Linked DNA regions of Caenorhabditis elegans. The protein of the gene in region 2 purifies or fractionates together with the protein of the main gene of each other region. This does not show direct contact. Each region holds a gene or a part of one and is shown on either strand. Other genes may lie near its edges. The genes, in order: slc-9B.1 and trpl-5.

Region 1 (6,593 bases), on a different chromosome or scaffold from region 2:
ATTATTTAAAAAATTTGCACAGTTCAAAATTCAATTAAATTCAATTAAATTAAATTCAATAAATTGAATTATTTAATTTTCATTTTCTTGCAATGCTCATTTTCAGTGAGGAGTTCGCAAAAGTTGTTCCCTGCTTGTTTGCGCGTCGTCCTGGAACTGGTCCAATTCGCGTCATCACTGGTAAAACCTGATAAATTTGAAGTTATTTTTGCTTAGCTTTTTTTTTAGAACGCACCGCTATGATAACTAACCCGTTTCGACGTGCAAACCGAAAAAAAAAAGTGGAGGAACAGCCTGTTACGGTGATTTCTGGTGAGTTTTACTTTTATGTTGTTTGATCCTTAGTTATTCTTCGTTAAGAACTTTTACACCCGACATCCAACGAAGAATAGGAAGCCATTCATTCCCTGCATGCACTCGTTGTCAGTGAACTTTTCAACAAACCAGCAATCTTTAGAAACAGATTCAGAGAGTCCACTTCAAACTGCAGTGGAGCCGCAGCGCAGTATCGTGTATCTCGATGAGCCTGAGAACGGATCAAGTTGTCAGACGCTTCTGCTTTAAGCCGCTCAATACAAAACCGGAAAGTCAGAACAAAAGTCGCTTTTAGTCATGTCACTTGCCAGTACATTTATCCGCTTTCCACTTGCCTTCATATGTAATTTTCATAAAAACACTTATTCAACATTTTATTTTTTTGGTCATATTGTTTTTCTTTCCTAAGATTTTTTCAGCTAAATCTCTGATCAAACCTGTCCTGATCTAAACTATGTGGTTATACTTAACTTATGCACTGCTGTATTTGCACAAATCTTGCTTGATGCTGATTTATCTTTTGTTTCTTCTTCTTGTCACATTTTGATAAAATATTTGTAAATGAAATTTCATATTGGTTACAAAAAATTGGTTCAACTGGTGTGGTTGATAAGATCAGATATGGTTCAAGTAAGAAGGGTATAACAGAATCATGACGAAATTTCAGAATGACATATTTAAAAACATGCTGGAACGGGAAATTGGTAGATGTGGATAAGTAAAATAAATCGAATTGGAAAATTGGTGAAATGTCTTTTCCTGGTTATGGTCATTTAAATTGAATTTGAATTGACTTGATAATAATATTATAAATATGGGAAATTAGGAATTATTTTGTTTTTTTTTTCAGAGGAAAATTGTAATAAAATCTAAAAAGTTTGGGTAAATTTTTAATATCTTTCGATAACAGCTTCACTGCGGTATTCCGAATATGTCTTCGGACGGGCGGCATAGATGGTTTCATCAACATGATCACCATTCATATAGGTTTTGTCAAAATTTTTCTCAATTGCCGGCGCATCCTGAATGAAAATTTGTTTCACATTGCATTTCAAAAATGGGAGTGAGAACGCTACCTGTGGATTGTATTGAGAGAGACATTTAGATCCAACAAGATTGAGAAGAATATCAAAAATAGGAGCTGTGATTAGAACAGATAAAATGGCAGCTTTTAAGATGAGTGCTGCATCCTTGGCCATGTCTGGGAATGGTGTAGCCATCAAAAGTAGAGTTGGAGCAAGGTCGGCCTAAATTAGCAAATTTTCAGCTAAAGTTCCACTGTGTTTAACATTTTGAAATTTTATGTGTTTCATACTAATAGAGTGAAAAAAACATGATACCAAAAAAAACTGTGCACAAACCTGGAAAGTGGCTCTTGGAAGCAAGCTCAGAGCAACAACAATTTGCTCTTTGAAATTAATGTGTGAGGAGAGTGTTACCAACATTACCAAAATCGTTCTTACTAACAGACCAATTGCAATAACAGCAATGCACAAAAACACAATCTCCCATGTCAGCTGAAAATGACACTTTGAAAACATCAATCTCTAACTACTTACAGTTGAGCAGTCAAACTTCATTCCGAGGCAGATAAAAAGAAGTGGAAGCGCGAAGGAATCCCATATGTATTTATATGTAGACTCAACGCATTCTAACTTCTCTTTATTATCTGCTTTCCATTGCATTGCACTCATTGCACTAGTGATGAGAGCGGCGAGAAAACCAGAGCAGGAGTACTTGATAAGATAAGTTCCAATAACAACTGCAATACAAATAGTACCAAGAAGAGTTATTCTTGCGAATTGAGTGTGTGGAGCATCTGATCTTGGGAATCTCCACAGAATCCATCCAAGTACAATTCCGCCGATGCATCCAAATACAATACTTCCAGCGTTGAGAAGGATTGTAGTAGCTATTGGGGCTTGAATCAACATTCAGTGATAATTGAGCAAGTTTCAAACACTTACCATCGGTAAAAATAATGGACGAAAGAACCATGAATAAAATAACGCAGAAAAGATTGTCGACGCAACAAATGGCCAAAATATTTTCAGGAATTCTTTTAAGAGACCCCAATTGTTTTTCTTTGAAGTTGATCATGGCTGGAACGGTCACAGCAGGGGACACCGTCACAAGAATTAATCTGAATTATGAAAAAATATTGTTGATAAAAATAAAATAAAAATTGTTGATGAAAAAGTGAAAAAGGAAATTGAAAGCCTACGCGCAGAAAATCGACATCACAAATGAAATATTCAAAATGAAGTATGATGCAATTGTGACTGCAATTATTTCTCCAATTGCTGTAACGAGACCAATGGTGACTGGCATGAGCTGAAAAAATAGTTATAGTTTGTAGATGCAAAACACCAACTCACAGCATTTTCATAAAGAAAATGAATATCTGTTGCAAGCCCCCAACGAACAATAATCATGACCAAAGCGACTTTTCGAATCATGGTTTCGACAAATGGAGGGAAGACAAAAAATTGGTCAAAGACAGTGATGTTTTTGATAATTATTCCAAGTGCAAGACATCCTGGAAAAAATGCAAAGATGTGCAGAATTAATTGTTCTTCTTACTACATCATTTTTAATCATTTTTAAACCATGTGTTGTTTTTTCTAGGGCTGTACAAATCGGCGTCCGGTCGTCCGATTTTGACACCACCGGACGCACTGCGTCCGGTTTTGGGGTAGGTTTCCACGGCGGCCGACAATTTCCGAGTTTCGCCACTCACTATTCTTAATCAGCAATTTTATAGTGAGTCGCGAAACTCGGAAATTGTCGGCCGTCGTGGATAGCTACCCCCAACCGGACGCATGTGCGTCCGGTTCGGACGACCGGACGTCCGGTTGTACAGCCCTAGTTTTTTCCGTGCATCTCTTCAATCTACTTACTGTTACCAGACAGGTCTATTAAACTTTTAATGCATCCTGGTGTACGTCAACCAATCTCAATATATTCAAAGGACTAAATTAAGTATTTCATGCTTTTTTTCGGCGTACCATCCGTTCGCATAAATGTGATACGAGGTATTAAATGTTTTCCGGTAGATACTGTATTTCAATGTATATTTTAGAGTTTGGATTACATTTGATTTGTGTTTTACATCATAAAATGTTGGCAATTTCAGCAATCACTGAAATTGGGACAGGGCCCACATGTTAAAAAAAAAACGTGTGCCTTTAGCCCTAGTTTATGCAATTGTTGTTTAGCAGATTATCTTAATACTAAGTCTTAAACTACATTTAGGGTTTAATTGGAAATTCAGGCATAAACTCGTATAAAAAATATATTGGTATTGAAGAATCAATAACTCAATCGATTAAAAATGCATGCAAATAGTTTATCCTAGTAATTATCAGTATTAACCAAAAAACACATACCGAATAGTGGAGGAAGCCTCAATGCTTTTGAAATTTTTGCTGCAAAAATTCCAGCAACAAGAAGAATAAATATTACAAATATCGATCGCACGGTCACATCTTCATTAGTAGCGTTGACTGGATTTACATGATCGGCAAGTGGATTCACTGAAATTGAAATCTATGTTTGAAAGATTTCAAACACCTTTACTTACAAAAGTTTTCACCTAAGAGAGTGATAATAGAAATGTACAGAGAAATGAATATAAGTATTGTTGTAGTTATTGAGTTTATCTGAAAAACAATAGTTTTAAATTACACATGAAAAGTTATAAATTTAACCTCTCTGTTATTAAAAAAGTTGTGTAGCGTGTTGTGCAATCTTGCCACGCAATGCATGATTTGTTTTGATCACCACGTGATTGTTTGATAACTGAAGTTAACAAATTGTTAAAAGATCAAATGGACAAAAAAGAGAAGTGTATAATGAAAGAAAAAGATGAATGGTTGTGTGTGATCGAACTGTCAAATGAGCCCCAAATCGGCAAACGGAATAAACGGGAGGAGAGCCGGCGTGTTTGCAATGTCGCTTCCACACACCGTTACTAACTTTCAACTAACTATCTTCACTTTCTCGGAGAGTGAGATAGGGGGTGCTTACCGTTTAATCTGATACACTTATTCAATAACGCATGACGCCTCTTCGCCTTTGCATATTATATACTATTATTCAATGTTGCTACTTGCCGTTTATGCAAATCCTTTAACGTTGACGCACCGGTATTCTAGTTTAAATTTTATTTCAAGTCTTCAGAATTTCGGAAAGACTATGAGTCAGTCGAGTCAGTCTGAAAAGTGTGTGAAAAGAAACAAATGAAAAAAAACAGGAGTCAGAAAGAACGAAGTTCAGGGGTTTCATTGTTTATTATTTTGGACCCAAAACTAAAGTGCACTCTATAATTAAAAAAATAGAGCGTAATGCTAATTCAAATAAATAATATTCTAGTAATAATCAATATTATTTGTATTATAGACCGCCCTATTTCCTTCTGAGAAACTTATTTTTGTTTATTTTTAAATTTTTTTAAAACTTCTCGCGGATACAAAGACCTTGTAACGTGAGTTCTTTTTTTAACTTTCTTTAACTTTCTATTTATTTATTAGTTAGGAATGTAAAAAACTACTCGTATTCTCTCCTCGTTCCACCTCCAGTACATAACAGTAACTTTGAAGTATAAAAGAATTTCCCTTTGAGTATTACCAAAAAATTATGAAGAAAAGTTGTGAGAATCATTTTAAAATTTAGCAAAACACATTACTACAATAACAGATAAAATGTAAAAATAATATAGTTACCTTAACGACACGAAAAAACATTTTTATTGGTTTAATTAGTTCCTTATATAGAGAACAATAGAATGATCTTTTTGTTTACAAAGATTTAACTGCAAATGACCGCATGATTTTTGTGTTTTATTTTGCAAAATGACATCACTGATCAATGAAACAATAATCTTGTTCAAAATTCGACTGAAAAGTTATTAGGAAAACAGAACGCTTCTGAAAATTTAGTTGCATATATCTGGCAAAAAGATTATCATGAAAGTAATTTTAGGGTTACACAATATATTTTCTACAAATTCTGCACCAATTGGTAAAATAATCAAATACAAGTTTATTAAATGATTTCGGTATTTCTCCGTTTGGCAATTGAAGACAAATGCAAATATTTTTAAAACGGTGTTTTATTCGAAACATAATGTTTATATTCAAAACATATGTTCAATATGGCTTGAGATTTTAACTTTACAATATGTCGAGTTTGAATGTTTTATAAAAACAAAAAGGAATAATATCGGGAATATAGCAACAATAATGCACTTTTCAACAAACTGTTGAAAATGTTTTCGTTTAAAAATATTAACTCCAATCACTTATTGATCCGATTCCCGCTTGCGTAAGTTTTTGTGTTATTAGAGTGTTGATATGAAGCTCGAGAATAACCGTTCTCGATACTGATCGGCACAAAATTTGGGTTTAACTCGTAGATGATCCTATTATTAAGATTGGTTCTGCTGTTGTTGGTGCTATTCGATGACGATGTCTTCTTCAGCTCTAGATTTGGATCCATTTCGTCAAGAATAGTAGAGTTGGTAATGTTCCTGTTGTAAGTCTAAAAAAATATCTGTCATTTTGGTGAATTGGATTAAAGATTAAATACCGAAGTTCCTTCTTTAATTTTCAATATTCTTGGGGCCAAAACATCTAATAATATCTCCACAATAGGACTTGTCACCATCACTGCGGTAATGCAAATGTTGATGATCTGCAAATAAAAAAGGATTAATCAAACAATTCCCGCTATTCCTTCTTTTATAATCCAATAATATGTATATCTTACTAGTTTGGTTTGCTCGCGGAGTTCCGGGAAACCGTTTGTCATAAAAATGAGTGACGGGGCCAGTGCACACTGAACAGTCGCTTTTGGCATTAAGGTCAATGCCAAAATAATTTGTTCGTAGATATTAAAGTGACCATAATACGATAAGATCATTGCAGAAATCAACCGAAAAGAACTTCCAACTGCTATGATGATAAACGCTGTTTTCCAATTCTCAGCTGACATCTGAACCGTAAAAACTAGAGTCTTTAATGATTGTTGTAGTTATTCACTACATTTTATAGTCATTTCTTTACAGTAATTAGTTAACAGGTACAGCCTTACATTTTGAAAATCAAACGTGTACCCAACAAGTGAAAAAAGAAGAGGTACTGCGACGAAATACCAAAGATTGTCAAATTGATGAACAAGAACTTTGATCTGAAGATGTCAAAATTAGATAGTACCATAAGACATTTTTGTATCAAACTCCTTTAGGATTGTCTTCTCTCCAGTGCGTGGTGCTGACA
Region 2 (8,725 bases):
CTCATTATTGATGACCTTGTATTGGACCGCAATTCAATTTCTATAAATAATGTGGAATATAAGCTTGGCACCGAGAATAAGGTAAGATACTTTATTAGTTTTACTTATTATTCAAGTTAATGGGGTTTTTTAATGAATACGTTTTCAGTTCGACGAGGACCCGAAAACTCTGGCTATCCGGCAACTGGAAGGCAGACGCCAGTTGATCAATGTTAAATGGCTGAAGATTGAAGGAGAAGGCCAGATTCTCGACCTTCTTGAGCGTCTTCCCCAGTGCTTCCAGAGATTCAAGATGAAAATGATCTTCAATTGGTCGATGCAGCTCCACCAATTGATCGATCCTCGGAGTATTCCGTTGGACGGAATTTCCCTCAACGAAGCTTTATCACTGAATTCTCGGCCTTATCGACACATTGAGCAAGCAAGACTTTGAAGTACCAAGCCGTTGCTTCCGCACAGATGATGCTGATATGGTCAAAAATTTATACAAGCTGCTAAGCCTTCTCGCAGAAGGTCACGAGATGGTGTATTACTATGATGAAGAAGAAGTCGATAGTGACATTGAGGAAGAGGTAAATGGATTCCCAAATCTGATCGAATTTTGGTATGATGGTTCAATTGGTTTCCAAGCTAGAGCCGAGAATGATGGACACTTTATTAAAATTTCTATTGAGATATTTAATAGAGTTGAAAAAGACTTATTTGAACTTTTTATGGACTATTTTTAAGACGATTGAAATGAATCTTGTATTATTGACAGTGTTTTATCTAATGGGTACTTACATTACAGATCATTACAGATAATTTATAAATGAGGGAGAGCAAATAGTAAAAACATACATGTACGTAGATTTAAATTGTCAGCAGTTTTTGATTTAAAAACAGATGCATCAACTGGTTCAACTGGGGATATATATATATATATATATTGGATTGAATAAAATAAAACTTAAAATTTGACTGCTAAATTAAGGCATTCTCTGGCATTCTCCTCATCAATTACTCTATCACAATACTGATTGGTTTTCTCTTTTATTGTTTTCAGCGTGCTCACATCGAGTGTGTGCTTCTCGAAACCGCCGACAAGATCCATCAGTCCTTCCAGGACGCCAAATGACCTCTTGCATAAAAACTGCCCAATTTCCTTTTCAAGTTCCTTGGCCTGTGCCTCTTGTTGCTCTTGTGCATTTTGAGCATTTGGAGCTTTTTGAGCATTTTGGACATTTGGAGCATTTATATCATTTTGAGCATTTGGAGCATTTTGTGCAATCTGAGCATTTGGAGCATTAGGATCATTTTGTGCAATCTGAGCATTTGGAGCATTTCGGGCATTCTGGGCATTCTGAGAATTTTGAGCATTTCTAGTATTTTGAGAATTCTGGACATTTGGAGCATTTTGAGCATTTGGATCATTTTGAGCATTTTGGTCATTTGGAGCATTTTGGCCATTTTGGGCATTTGAATCATTTCTGTCAATTTGTACATTCTGGCCATTTGCATCGTTTGGAGCATTTTGGTCATTTTGTGCATTTTGAGCATTTGCATCATCTTTGCTATTTTGGGCATTTGGAGCATTTGGATCATTTTGGCCATTTTGTGCATTCTTGGCATTTGGATCATTTTGGCCATTTTTTGAATTTTGGGCATATTGGCCGTTTTGTGCATTCTGGGAATTCTGGACATTTGGATCATTTTGCCTATTTTGCCCATTTTGTGAATTCTGGGCATTTGGATCGTTTTTGTCATTTTGGCCATTTTGTGAATTCTGGACATTTGAAGCATTTTGGACATTTGGAGCATTTTGGACATTCTGAGCATTATGGGCATTCGGATCACTTTGTGCATTTTGGGCATTTGGATCGTTTTTGCCATTTTGTGCATTCTGAGCATTGGGATCATTCTGATCTTTTCGTTTCGAAGGTGTATGTTTTCTGACAACTCCCCACGGATGTCCCTCCATTTTTTCGATAATGTTTTTCCATATGTACTCTGAGAACTGTGTAACTCGTCCGGCATCTTTTTTGAGCCATTTTTGTATGCCCCACATGATCAGTAGGACCATACATGTTGAACATCTTAGAAGTATATAAATAAGTGACAGCGGAGGAGGCAGGTAGAGTTTTGATTCAATTCTGAAAATATTCACAGTACTTTTTGTTAGGTTACAGCAGATCCACTTACTTTGCCTCAAGTTCATATTTAAGGTATCCTTTGTAGTAAAGACTGTTCTCCGATTGTTTTTCGTATTCTTTTCTGTAATTGGATAGAATTTTATTTCAAGTTTCCAGAAAAAAATTCACGTTAACTGCGCAGTTAGCAAGTTAATCAGTAGAATCCCCGAAACAAAAATGTAGGTAAAAACCAAAAACGGCATAATTGTACTGCGAAATAGGCAACTGGCTTCCGCATATTCCATCTCGAAAAAATCCCAAAAAGTTTTGGTAAAATGGCTTCAGTTGGACAGTATCCCGATGCGATCTTCATCTTGTACTTCTCCGAATATTTCAAACTTTCCAGGTAGACTAAGTGTGTAGATGAATGTGCTGTTATGTACTAGGAGAGTTCCTGGAAGAGTTTAGGATTTTCAGTCTGCATTCGGAGCCGTTAACTTACTGGAGAGGCTGACGTGAGTCACTGCTAGGACGAACCAAAACGTACAGAATATCAATATGAACATTCCAACAGTTTTCATCTGAAATTTAGGTTTACAGATAGGTAGGCATGTTTTCTGGGTATGCCTGCCAGCGAGGCTAATAAGCACACCGTCTATTCAATATTCACAGGTGGAGTAACTCAAGTTTGACTCAAAAAACTAACTTTCATAATTCATTGTCTTGAAAACTAGGGCTTCCATGGAGGCAGGCGAGGTTTCAGGTCCTGACGCCTGCTCCAAACCTGCCTGCCTGACGCCTGCTTTATCGCCACCGCATAGTGCGAAATTGTAATTCTTGGCAGCGCCCGACAGTTTCTGGGTTCCGCGTCACACTATACGATGCAGCTTGCGGCGCGAGGTAGGCGGAGGTTGCCGCAAGGCTGGCAGGCATTTTGGCGCCTACATGGAAGCCTTTTAACTAAATTAAAAATTTTGATAAGTTAAAAAAGTCTTTTGGGACAATTTCGCGTCTAACCAACCAATAAAATATTAAAAATTGCTCACCATTTTCTTGAAAATGTGCACAAAAAACCCAATAGACTGAATTGAATGGAAGAATCGAAGACTTGAGATCGTCGCAATAGTGAACAGAGAGCAGTATAAAAGTTCCAGCATAAGAGGCAAAATCACCCATCCTCCCGACCAAAAGTTCCTGGGCTTGCTGGGAAGACCCGCAAAAACCACGAAGCGAATTGCCTCTAAACTGAGAAGTGGAACTACTAAACAAACTCTCCAAAACGCGAGCTTCTTCAAACGAACGTAGCGTTGAACACTGGAAAAGTAGAAGCCAAATGGATTGGAGCCGTGTTTCAGTTTGAAATCGTCAAAAATCTGAAATCGGCAATGTTTGTATTTTCGGGCAATTTTTGGGCAAGTTTCCTTTTTTTGAGGTTTTTGCCAGACTATTCGTTTTTTTTGTTCTGAGCACAGGACGTTTTTCGGCTTTCTTTGAGATTGTGCAATTTTAGTTTTTTTTTTCTCGTTTTTTAAATTCTTGATATTTCTGGAATTTTTTTCCTCTCTTCCCTATGCATAAACCTAAGCCTAAGTCAAGACCCAAGCAAAAGCCTAATGCTAAGACTAATCCTAATCTTAAGGCTAAGCTTAAGTCTAAGTCTAAGCCTAAACCTTAGCCTAATCTTGAGCCTAGGCCTAAGCTTGAGCCTGAACCTAAGCTGAGGCCTAAGCCTTTACCTAAGCCTAAGTCTGTGAGCTTACCAAATGATCAATTGACTTGATAATTGTCATAGACACTTGTGCTATGAGCACCGCGGGAACAAACAGAAAAGGGAGCATTTCCCAGAAGCCAAGACTACTTGTACTGTCGTAACTGCTGTAAAACGGATAACGGCATAGCATATAGGCGAACATGAGTATATAAGCAAGTCGAAATGTCTGGAAAAAATTGAACGAAATTTCTTTGGAAACTTTAATTATTACCCAATTCAGCGTGTGTTTGATCGTTTTCACGGCCTTATTTCGAGTCTCCATTAAGTGTAAGCATGGCCTGAGAGATAGGAACTTCTGTAAAAAGATTGACACATTTTCAAATTTAACAGCACATCATTTCAACTAATAATTACAGAACTCCAAAAAACTGAGCCGTGTTCAAGCGCCCGACAATTTCAGGGCTGCGCGGATTTTTATTGGCAACGCTCTTGAGTGGCAGAGCCCGGAAAATGTCGGGACACAAGAAAGAAAAAATACTCTTACCCTTGCTTTTGCCTTATACGCGATCGCCATGATTTCCCGACTTTGGTCAAACTTCCGGTTTAGATAGTCATGATATGGCCCAACTTTCTCTTCTGATTTCTCAGTTGTATTAGTTTTTCCTTTTGTATCCTTTCCAAATTCAGACTTATAATCCGCTTGCAGAACTATTGCAACTCGATCAGCTCCGCTTTCTCCGCTGTTCAAATGGCTCACAATTTTGCAGGCAATGTCCTCGAGTTCACTGAAAGTTTAGTTGTGAGTAGAAAATTAGAACATCTGAAGGGTGGGTGGCAAACGATTTTTTCTGGCAAATTGACAGACTGCCGGAATTTAAAGTTTGAAAATTTTAAGAAAATTGGCAGACCGGCAAGTTGCCGGAATTGAAAATTTAAAGAAAATTGGCAAACCGGCAAGTTGCCGGAATTGAACATTTCCGGCAAATCGGCAAGTTGCCGGAATTGAAAATTTCGGGAAACTTGCCGGAATTAAAGATTTCCGGCAAATCGGCAAATTTGCAAACTGCCGGAATTGAAAATTTTAAGAAAATTGGCAAACCGGCAAGTTGCCGGAATTGAACATTTTCGGCAAATCGGCGAATCGGCAAATTGCCCAAAATGAAAAATTCCTGAAAATCGGCAAACCGGCAATTTACCGGAATTGAAAACTTCCGGCACTTCAGCAAACCGGCAAGTTGCCGGAGTTGAAAATTGCGACAAATCGGCAAGTTGTCGGAGTTGAAGTTTCCGGCAAATCGGCAAATGGGCAAATTGCCGGAATTCAAAATTTCCGGCAAATCGACAAATCGGCAACTTGCAAAAATGAAAAATTCCGGAAAATCGGAAAACCCGCAAATTGCCGGAATTAAACATTTCCTGCCAATCGGCAAAACTGCAAACCACCAAAAATGAAAATTTCTGACAAGTCGGCAGACTTGAAATTTGCCGCTTTGCCAAATTATATCCCTTACTTTTTGAGTTTCTCGTAGACTTCTCCATCTTCATATCCGGAATCCTTGCCCAAAAATTTCTTCTGCATAACGTGCGCTATATAGCACATGACCATTATTGTGTGCAAAGGATGATGGCATTCGCTCAGAAGATCTTTCTCTACGTACCTGAAAATGAGGTGATAGGTAGGTAGGCAGGCGTAGGTACACTCACTTTGTGGGATTTCCGGGTTGGTTATCTAGCGCGAACCTTCGGCCGAAGAATGCTGCGATAATCATTGCAGCAGAGTTTTTGTCGTTGTTATATATGGTTACTGAAGACTTTAGTTATATAGTTTAAGTTATCAAGATCAAATACAAAAATTACCAATTTTGATATTGAGATCCAGAAGTAGAATATTCTCAATTTCATTAAAAATTCTGTCAGCTCCTTTTATTCCATGCGCCTTGAATACGTTGTGCTGAAAAAAATTTCTAGGGTGTTCTAGAACATTTCAGTAACTTTATAGTCCTTATTGGGATTTTTTCAAAAACACTATCATGTTCCAAAACTATGGGAAATGCTTGAAAATTCCGAGATAATTCTGAAAACTTCTGTTAGGTTCCAGATTTTTCTAGAATGGTTTCTAGAAATAATTTGGACAAATTTTAGCAATTTTTTATTTTTTTAATTCTAAAAAATAAATTTCGAAAAAATAGCCCACCTCTTGTTCGTACGCTTCCAACAACTTACGAATAGTCTCCCTATTCTTAGCATCCGCTTCAATAGTTATTTTAGTAGTTTCCGAAGATAGCAAGGCTTGCGACGCGGATTGTTGTTGAAAACTGGAGCTTCTAGAGCCTGACATGTCCACAGAGCATCGAAGCAACTAAAATAAAAAATTGATGTGCTCTTTTTAAGCATTAATAAAGTGAGCAAGTTCCTCAGGAAGCATCTACAACAGAGACACACATCTATTACGAAATTAGCAGCAGGAATTTTCTGAAATTATCAGCAAATGTTTAACTATAGCAAGTTTATAAAGTGTTGTGAAACAATGCACACTTGATAAGGACAAAAACTTCAACAAACGGTTTTCTTATCAGCACGATAATTTCTAACACTTTGTGCTTTGGTTTATGAGAGAGGAACTCCAATCAGAAATGATGAAACATTCTGTTCAAGAGAGCTGATAGGATTAGACTGAGTAGATCAATTCTGAACAATCCTATGAAGAAGGGCTCTCTTCGATTTTCCCGTAATATAGAATTTGGAATTTTATGTTTGTTATCGGTTTCTTCTCACGAGAGAAGTCTTTGAAGAAGCCGGTAGATTTGGGGTTCTCATGTTGATATTCCGATAGAAGAGTTTTAGTTATGATCTCTCCAAAAAATTTAGCTGCCCCGGTCAAGTTTCTGCAAAGTAATGAAGTTTTGAAAATTCGGCCCAAAAAAATTCGAAAATTATTTTTATCTCATGACGCGGACAAGCTACAAATGTCTAATTAGGCTTGTTCGAAAGATAAAAAATTTCTCTACACATCTACAAGTTGAACTTACAACTTAGTTATTCAAATTCGAAAGTTGTGAGCCGGGGAACTATAATAAGCAACGTTTCACACTAAAAAAAAGCCCAAAAAAATTCGGAAATGATTTTTATCTCCTGACGCGGACAAGCTACAAATGTAGTCAAATTGATTGTGGTTATTTCCTGTACAATGAAAATATTGTTATTTCATAGTAGAAGGATTCATCTGGCATTTCATCAAAAAACAATTATATAAACAATCTCAATTACAAAATTTATTCACCACAGAAAATTTATATTACGCCACAAGAGATACGCCACGACGCGAAGATCTTTGCCATTTTCGTCCTGTGCTTGCGATAGTACAGCACCAAAATCTAATCATAAATCGTCTGTTTCGATCACGAACGGTTTCCCAAAAACAGGTGCCACCAGGATTGGTCTTGTAGTTAACATCCTTCTTCGTCAGTTCAGATCGTAGTTGATCCACAAAGTTTTTGATGAATCGTCGATAGAAAGACAAACATCCATCACATTCTTCGGTTGGGGAAACTTCGAAACAGCTTTAATTTTCTCAGGATCGGTTTGTATTCCATCTTTCGATACGATGTATGTTCGAACTTCGACTTTTCCAATTTCAACTTCATTCCTGACTGGAGTATGGCTTCCAGGACTTCTTCAATGGTGAAAATTTCTGAAAATTTACACTAGTATAATAAAAAATAAACTTGAAAAAAAAACTTACCACTCATTTTGAAGAACCTCTGAAGAAATTAAGCATAAAATCAATAAAAAAAGGGACAGCCATTCAGTAGGCCGTCTTGGGGAAATAATGAACGGGAGAAAGAGGTGGGAGGGGGTGACCCCGCCACAACAGATGGCAAATATTACAACAAGGTCCCTGGGGAGTGCACAGACTATTTACCTTAACCATCTTGGTCTCCGCTTTCCTCAAAAAAATTATTAGAGCGCGCTTGCTAGCCGTCGCGTTTCTGTGCGTGCGTACGTGGAGTCAGGATGTCCCATCATAACAAAAATCTGGTTTTGAAAATACAGAAAGAATTAAAAGAAGCTCAAAAATGAGAATTTGCAAAAAAAAAGAGAATCTGTGGGAAAAACCATGGAAATAAAATCAAGCTTAGTGCGCATGCCAGCGCGGGCCTTCGCAGATGTCGGCTGCTTACTTTAGAAAATCCTAACCGTCCTGGAATACAGTACAAAATTATATTTAATTTTTATCTATTTTTCACAAAAACATTTTAAATAAATAAAAATAAACACTTCACATGAAACCTTTAAAAAACATTTATTCATTTTAATTTATTTTAATATTACCAACTCATCATCCACTTGGCATTACAGATCATTACAGAAAATTTATAAATGAAGGAAAACAAATATTAAAAACGTACATATATGGAGATTTATAATGTCAGAAGTTTTTGATTTGAAAAAAAGAGACAACAGTGGAGCATCAACTGGATCAACTGGGGATATACTTAAATTTTGACTGCTCAATTAACTAGGCATTTCAGAAAAGAAATTAATGAGATTTGAGTTTTTATTGAATTTTCTACTGATATATCTTAAAAGCCGGCAAGTCTGTTAAAACCACCGGCGAGACACACATGACAAACGAAATGTAATCGGTTTTTGATAATAAGACAGTCGCTTTTGTTCCGTCGTTTCTCTTGATTTCGAATCGTTTCCAGTGATCATCCTCTTCTTTTTCCATGTAACCGATACCTTCAAAAAGTGAAACTTCCACAAATCGCAGTCTTTCGGTTGGCCGAATGTGGTACTCAAACGATTTGAGTTGGCAGTTGGATCCTTTAATCCAATGCTTTATGAAAAGATTCAAGTTCTTGTCGGAAATTACTTGATTGTCTATGGTAATTGTGGAACA

Evidence for each region.
Region 1: the proteins of trpl-5 (region 2) and slc-9B.1 fractionate together in Caenorhabditis elegans (co-fractionation; one large-scale study listed by BioGRID). This does not show direct contact.

What each region holds. Positions count from the first base shown.
Region 1 is NC_003284.9:10,277,122-10,283,714, reverse strand, and holds slc-9B.1 (Cation/H+ exchanger transmembrane domain-containing protein), read right to left. Parts: upstream 4,117-6,593; 5' UTR 4,083-4,116; coding exon 4,026-4,082; intron 3,978-4,025; coding exon 3,899-3,977; intron 3,852-3,898; coding exon 3,705-3,851; intron 2,855-3,704; coding exon 2,694-2,854; intron 2,650-2,693; coding exon 2,540-2,649; intron 2,459-2,539; coding exon 2,283-2,458; intron 2,237-2,282; coding exon 1,875-2,236; intron 1,833-1,874; coding exon 1,677-1,832; intron 1,563-1,676; coding exon 1,392-1,562; intron 1,338-1,391; coding exon 1,206-1,337; 3' UTR 873-1,205; downstream 1-872. Other genes in the region: npr-6 (G-protein coupled receptors family 1 profile domain-containing protein), read left to right, coding at 107-180, 229-312, 470-564; F41E7.2 (Cation/H+ exchanger transmembrane domain-containing protein), read right to left, coding at 5,614-5,856, 5,905-6,009, 6,085-6,309, 6,409-6,504, 6,554-6,593.
Region 2 is NC_003280.10:2,084,459-2,093,183, forward strand, and holds trpl-5 (Ion_trans domain-containing protein), read right to left. Parts: upstream 6,179-8,725; 5' UTR 6,161-6,178; coding exon 6,017-6,160; intron 5,774-6,016; coding exon 5,680-5,773; intron 5,627-5,679; coding exon 5,527-5,626; intron 5,481-5,526; coding exon 5,334-5,480; intron 4,608-5,333; coding exon 4,367-4,607; intron 4,178-4,366; coding exon 4,094-4,177; intron 4,049-4,093; coding exon 3,872-4,048; intron 3,485-3,871; coding exon 3,158-3,484; intron 2,693-3,157; coding exon 2,614-2,692; intron 2,566-2,613; coding exon 2,453-2,565; 3' UTR 2,301-2,452; intron 2,254-2,300; 3' UTR 2,182-2,253; intron 2,133-2,181; 3' UTR 791-2,132; downstream 1-790. Other genes in the region: fbxc-49 (F-box C protein), read left to right, coding at 1-81, 149-433; T16A1.10 (Transposase), read right to left, coding at 7,350-7,513, 7,565-7,571; fbxb-37 (F-box associated domain-containing protein), read right to left, coding at 8,393-8,725.